2 linked regions of the Xenopus tropicalis genome follow. The protein of the gene in region 2 interacts with the protein of the main gene of each other region in a biochemical or structural test. Links are inferred from orthologs where the notes say so. Each region holds a gene or a part of one and is shown on either strand. Other genes may lie near its edges.

Evidence for each region. The genes of interacting proteins can lie anywhere in the genome.
Region 1: of the proteins of usp33 (region 2) and arrb2, one has a biochemical effect on the other in vitro, tested with the Homo sapiens proteins (2 studies listed by BioGRID, with this or other methods). The link is inferred for Xenopus tropicalis from reciprocal best matches to the Homo sapiens genes USP33 and ARRB2.

The regions. Positions count from the first base shown.
Region 1 is NC_030679.2:142,421,462-142,425,490, forward strand, and holds the start of arrb2 (beta-arrestin-2), read right to left. Parts: upstream 2,801-4,029; 5' UTR 2,756-2,800; coding exon 2,733-2,755; intron 1-2,732. UniProt on the Homo sapiens protein: Functions in regulating agonist-mediated G-protein coupled receptor (GPCR) signaling by mediating both receptor desensitization and resensitization processes.
Region 2 is NC_030680.2:80,329,463-80,332,962, reverse strand, and holds part of usp33 (ubiquitin carboxyl-terminal hydrolase 33), read right to left. Parts: intron 1,067-3,500; coding exon 1,013-1,066; intron 924-1,012; coding exon 861-923; intron 1-860. UniProt on the Homo sapiens protein: Deubiquitinating enzyme involved in various processes such as centrosome duplication, cellular migration and beta-2 adrenergic receptor/ADRB2 recycling.

The DNA.
Region 1 (4,029 bases), on a different chromosome or scaffold from region 2:
CAGTGTGTGGGTAACAGTACCTATACACAGTATATACAGTGCCCGTATACCAGTCAGTGTGTGGGTAACAGTACAGATACACACAGTATATACAGTGCCCGTATACCAGTCAGTGTGTGGGTAACAGTACCGATACACACAGTATATACAGTGCCCGTATACCAGTCAGTGTGTGGGTAACAGTACCGATACACACAGTATATACAGTGCCCGTATACCAGTCAGTGTGTGGGTAACAGTACCGATACACACAGTATATACAGTGCCCGTATACCAGTCAGTGTGTGGGTAACAGTACCTATACACAGTATATACAGTGCCCGTATACCAGTCAGTGTGTGGGTAACAGTACCTATACACAGTATATACAGTGCCCGTATACCAGTCAGCGTGTGGGTAACAGTACCTATACACACAGTATATACAGTGCCCGTATACCAGTCAGCGTGTGGGTAACAGTACCTATACACACAGTATATACAGTGCCCGTATACCAGTCAGCGTGTGGGTAACAGTACCTATACACACAGTATATACAGTGCCCGTATACCAGTCAGCGTGTGGGTAACAGTACCTATACACACAGTATATACAGTGCCCGTATACCAGTCAGCGTGTGGGTAACAGTACCTATACACACAGTATATACAGTGCCCGTATACCAGTCAGTGTGTGGGTAACAGTACCTATACACAGTATATACAGTGCCCGTATACCAGTCAGTGTGTGGGTAACAGTACCGATACACAGTATATACAGTGCCCGTATACCAGTCAGTGTGTGGGTAACAGTACCGATACACACAGTATATACAGTGCCCGTATACCAGTCAGTGTGTGGGTAAAAGTACCTATACACAGTATATACAGTGCCCGTATACCAGTCAGTGTGTGGGTAACAGTACCTATACACACAGTATATACAGTGCCCGTATACCAGTCAGTGTGTGGGTAACAGTACCTATACACAGTATATACAGTGCCCGTATACCAGTCAGTGTGTGGGTAACAGTACCGATACACACAGTATATACAGTGCCCGTATACCAGTCAGTGTGTGGGTAACAGTACCGATACACACAGTATATACAGTGCCCGTATACCAGTCAGTGTGTGGGTAACAGTACCGATACACACAGTATATACAGTGCCCGTATACCAGTCAGTGTGTGGGTAACAGTACCGATACACAGTATATACAGTGCCCGTATACCAGTCAGTGTGTGGGTAACAGTACCGATACACAGTATATACAGTGCCCGTATACCAGTCAGTGTGTGGGTAACAGTACCGATACACAGTATATACAGTGCCCGTATACCAGTCAGTGTGTGGGTAACAGTACCTATACACACAGTATATACAGTGCCCGTATACCAGTCAGTGTGTGGGTAACAGTACCTATACACAGTATATACAGTGCCCGTATACCAGTCAGTGTGTGGGTAACAGTACCGATACACAGTATATACAGTGCCCGTATACCAGTCAGTGTGTGGGTAACAGTACCGATACACACAGTATATACAGTGCCCGTATACCAGTCAGTGTGTGGGTAACAGTACCGATACACAGTATATACAGTGCCCGTATACCAGTCAGTGTGTGGGTAACAGTACCTATACACAGTATATACAGTGCCCGTATACCAGTCAGTGTGTGGGTAACAGTACCGATACACAGTATATACAGTGCCCGTATACCAGTCAGTGTGTGGGTAACAGTACCTATACACAGTATATACAGTGCCCGTATACCAGTCAGTGTGTGGGTAACAGTACCGATACACACAGTATATACAGTGCCCGTATACCAGTCAGTGTGTGGGTAACAGTACCGATACACAGTATATACAGTGCCCGTATACCAGTCAGTGTGTGGGTAACAGTACCGATACACACAGTATATACAGTGCCCGTATACCAGTCAGTGTGTGGGTAACAGTACCGATACACAGTATATACAGTGCCCGTATACCAGTCAGTGTGTGGGTAACAGTACCTATACACACAGTATATACAGTGCCCGTATACCAGTCAGTGTGTGGGTAACAGTACCTATACACAGTATATACAGTGCCCGTATACCAGTCAGTGTGTGGGTAACAGTACCGATACACAGTATATACAGTGCCCGTATACCAGTCAGTGTGTGGGTAACAGTACCTATACACAGTATATACAGTGCCCGTATACCAGTCAGTGTGTGGGTAACAGTACCGATACACACAGTATATACAGTGCCCGTATACCAGTCAGTGTGTGGGTAACAGTACCGATACACAGTATATACAGTGCCCGTATACCAGTCAGTGTGTGGGTAACAGTACCGATACACACAGTATATACAGTGCCCGTATACCAGTCAGTGTGTGGGTAACAGTACCGATACACAGTATATACAGTGCCCGTATACCAGTCAGTGTGTGGGTAACAGTACCTATACACACAGTATATACAGTGCCCGTATACCAGTCAGTGTGTGGGTAACAGTACCTATACACACAGTATATACAGTGCCCGTATACCAGTCAGTGTGTGGGTAACAGTACCTATACACACAGTATATACAGTGCCCGTATACCAGTCAGTGTGTGGGTAACATACACAGTATATAGAGGCTACTAGGCAGGCAGACAGTGAGCAGGGTGAATGGCAAGGCGACACATACACACAGAGACATACAGGGAAAGGCGCAGTATATAAGTTCCCCCTCACAGAGTCAAATACTCACCGGGTTCCCGCCCTCTCCCCCATGTTCCAAGCTCCTCCGCTTGCTCTGTGTGTACGCGCTCCAATCCCCCACCGCGGGGACGCGCACGGTTCCACACGCACAGTAGGAAAGGGCGTGGCCGTGCGCTTCTTCCCATTTCCTGCGCGTTTTCATTGGCTGGACGATTTCCGGCCTTGTGACGGTCAGGTAGGACGCGGTCACCAAGTACTGAACACGCCCCCTCTCTGACTTGTGGAAGGAGGGGCCGGCGGCGTGACGTATATGAGTTAGAGGTCGGGCCGTACAACTGATTGGACAACAGGAGGACGGTGGAGGGAGGGCGTGGCAGTGGCTTGTAATAGGGGTTGCTGATTGGCTGCCTTGTAACAGGGGTTGCTGATTGGCTGCCTTGTAACAGGGGTTGCTGATTGGCTGCCTTGTAACATGGGTTGCTGATTGGCTGCCTTCTAATAGGGGGCGCTGATTGGCTGCCTTGTAGGTGTGTAACGCGTAATAGAATTAGCGATCGTCCGAAGGATTAAAACGTATTACTGACAGACGGTAGCTGCTCCGTAACCGGCTCAGATACCTTCCAGATAGATTGCTATTCAAAGGGACGTTTAGAATGAAGTAACAGTAATATTCTGAGATATGTTTTGCGCTTTTTTATAAGAATGAAGCTTTTTTTGTTCAATGCTGTTTTGCATTTTAGCAGCAAGCTGGTTGCTAGGGGCCAATTTACCTATAAGCCAGCGGTTTGAGGGATGTACTGGAATATGGTGATAAAAAAAGTCTGACAATTGTGACCTCACAGAATGGCAGTGTTTTGGTTGCCAGGGTCAGTGACCCCGTCCCTTCCAACAACAAGATTGATTTTTATATTGCAATTTGGCAAAGGGGCAGAAAGAAAGGCAAGTGGTTCAAACAGGCCTGGATTTCAGATTGGGCTCCCAATATCCCCATTGCCCCGTCTCCTGTTACTCCAGGGGCCCCAACTGCCCACTCACCGCCAGCGCCTCCCCCCACTTACCTCATACTTCCCCCGCAATTGGGGGAGGGCAGTGGGGGGCTGGTAGGGGCCCATGAGGGCCAGGGACCACTGAGTTTTTTTTCTGGCCCAGTCCAACCCTAGATCGATATATAGATAGATAGATAGATAGATAGATAGATAGATAGATAGATAGATAGACAGCTAAATAGATAGATACATACATAGCTAGATAGATAGATAGATAGATAGATAGATAGATAGATAGATAGATAGATAGATAGATAGATAGATAGACAGCTAAATAGATAGATACATAGATAGATAGAT
Region 2 (3,500 bases):
CTGTGCCTACTACATTAAACTCTATACCTCGGCAACAGGTTACCATAATCCACATAATCATTGTTCACAACGGTCGCCTATACCTCATCTTCCAATTCTGCTAACCCCCAATTAGGGTACTAGGTCTAAATTATCCAAATATATTATATACGCTACAAGATCCGCTGTGCCTACTACTCAGAAGGTTATTACCTCGGCACAGAGGATCATAGATCTAGGGTGTGAAACGCCGACGCGCGTTTCGCTACTGCTTTTTCAAGGCGGGTTGTAACTTTTGGAAATAATAAAAAACTTCCAAATAATCGCTACAAAGGTTACTTGCAAATTGTTGTTGAAACATTCGATAACTATACTAACAAAGTGATAACATAGTTACCAACCTTGGAAAGGCATTTAAGCCTAATACGGTGGATAGATCTGGGGTGTGTGACTATATATTTTATCTTTCCTTCCTTTTCTTTTTTTCGCTTTACCATTTTTAAAAACTATTTTAGTTGTAAATAAAATTAAAAGTTATATTTTAAAACTTGACAGGTGTGCCAAAAAAACTGTGTTTCTTTTACTTGTTTGACTTATACCTAATATTACACATTGTGCACCCTGGAACATAAATCACTGTAGTGCGAGGTTCCTCTACCAATAGATATACACTGTAACATTACAGGCACTGACAGTGAACCAGCAGCAAGAGAATGCACAAGTCTAGAATACACTTCTAAAGCTAAATGTACCAATTCCTAAACACTCTATAAAGAAACTAACGTCTTGATTTGAAAATAGAACATGTAGAGAGAAAGAAGCACAGCTGACAGGGCAACTTATTGGTTTAAGAAAAGAAATCTGAAAACATATAATCATACCTGAGAATGCAAAGTACTGTGGTCCACATGGGATTCTCCACAACCAACATAGGAACAGCCATTCTGCCAAATGAAACAAAATACTTTAAGTAAACTGCGTTAATATTTATAATAACCTATAGTAATAATTAAACCGATAACAAATATTTTACCTCTAGACAAGCCCAAAGATTTGGTCCTCTGACTCTGCAGTCCTGGCAGCTTCCCTGTAAAGACCATGAAGTAACACTAAATGTTACAGAAGCCGGCGATTCTGAAATTTAACCTTTATAATTATAAGATGGAAGGACAAGCTGTGCTCTAGGCCCAGATTCACAAGAAATTGCAGAGTTGCATATTCCTGCTTCTCTAATTGCAGATAAAAATATTAGTGTTGATAAAAGATTAAATGTGAAGCCACCAACTTTATTGGTTATATACACTTTAAACTTTATTTATAAAGCGCTGTACAATCTTACAAAATACAAAATTACACACAGTGAGGACAAGTGTTATAATAAATTTATATAAATGCACAGGGAGTAAGTGCCATGTGGTATGAGACAAAGTAGGAAGGAAGTCAGTGCTGTCCAACTTCTACGGTGCCGAGGGCCAGAATTTCTCTAGCATACATGGTGGAGGGCCACTAATGGAAGCCAGTTTTGACCACTCCCCTTTTTGAAACCACACCCACTTCAAACCACACCTATTTTATCACAATGGTGGTAGCACAGCAAAATCCCAAATGCTTGGTCCTTACTGTGGGGATATCAACCATCATTCATATGTGAAAGAATTATGTCATATTAAGATATACCCTTAAATTCCATATGCCTCCTCCTCCCCTGTGGATAGCAGAGCAACCCCCAGTACATAATTACACACCTTAGGGACCATTTAATGGCTATTTCCACCTGCTAACAAACTCCCACAACAAACCCCTGCCAGGTTCACCTCCCACAAGCAGCATAGGGTAAGCAGAGTATGGCACACACAGGCAGCACTCTGCCTGTCCTATGCTGTCTGTGTGTGCCATACTCTGCCTGTCCTACCCTGCCTGTGTGTGCCATACTCTGCCTTCTCTATGCTGCCTCTGTGTGCCATACTCTGCCTGCCCTACCCTGCCTGTGTGTGCCATACTCTACCTGCCCTACCCTTCCTGTGTGTGCCATACCCTCCCTGACCTATGCTGCCTGTGTGTGCCATACTCTACCTGCCCTATGCTGGCTGTATGTGCCATACTCTGCCTACAGTACCTATGTCTGAGGTGTGAAGAAGTGAACAATGGGAGTGATTACAGTCTGAGGTGTTAACACTGCAGGGGGTGAACAATGCAGGGATTAAAAGGTGTGAAAAACACAGGGGATTACATTTTTAAACAATACAGAGGGATTACAGCCTGAATCTGAGGTGAGAACCATGCAGGGGGCCAGTTAATCTCAGTACTGATACCATTTAATGCTTACTCAAAGGTAGGCCATCAAAGCAGCCAGACAGGTGGGGGGCCACACAGAGGGGGGCCGCCGGTTGGACAGCACTGTTCTAAGTGGTTGGGTAACAAACAAGCACAAATTGGAAGGTAAAAGTGCACCAGGTATGGACATTTGCCCTTAAGAGCAGGACTAGGTAAAATAGTGTTTTAGTGCTCCAGAAGGTAACAGCTAAGCTTTTTCTTAAAGAGAGTGGGTGAGTGTTCCCTAGGTAGGGATTCAGGGATAGAGTTCCAGAGGTAAAGAGCAGCAAGATAGAAAGGTTTAAGACGAGAGAGTATAGTGGGTGTGGATGGTGTAAAAAGGCGAGGGCTCTGAGAGGAGCGGAGGAGATTACCAGGAATGTGCAGGGAGACCAGTGAAGAAATGTAGTGAGGAGCAGAGGAGTGAAGGGCTTTGAATGTTAGCAGAAGGATTTTGTAAGCTATCCTTTGCTTAACAGGCAACCATGCAAAAGAGTTTAAGTGAGGCTGAACAGGTTTCCTCTTTAGAGTGAGCAGGAGGATCCTGGCAGCAGAGTTTAAGACTGATTAAGATTGCAGGGGACAGAGGTAGGAGTCTGGGAGGCCAGTTAGACCTTGTGCCTTCCCTAGGTTTCAACAGTTGACGCTCACTAAATACTTTCACTGGTCTATAGAGTGCTCTTGTATGTTATTTGTGCATTATTGTTCATGCCCATTTTTTAGAGGTCAGATTGTCCAAGCCAAGATAAGGACCATCCAGCTTGTTTTCACCACACAGTTCCAAAGCCAGCATCCGTGATGGTATGGGGGTGCATTAGTAACGTAACCACAAATCAGAGCCCGCACACAGGAGCCATTCAACATAGGAGCCCTGGTGGTTTATTGTGTAAAGCGGAATACACAATGTTTTGGGTATGTATGTGCCTATGGTTAGGTGGGTGATGAAAAAACTTTTTTTAACCACAATATGCTGTAAGTGTTCGCATCCATCTGCATGATGGCATACTTGGGGGATTTTTAGTGATTACAATGAGAAGTTATCTGGGAAAATTTTATTGCCAAAAAGGATATTCTCTGAAACAGAGTTGGCAGCTAAAATATAAATAAAATAAACCACAACTCGCACACCACAATTTTCACATACGGTGATCAGAAACCATAAGAATTAAAAAAAAAACAAATAAAACTTTGCAAGCTATTGGGTTTAT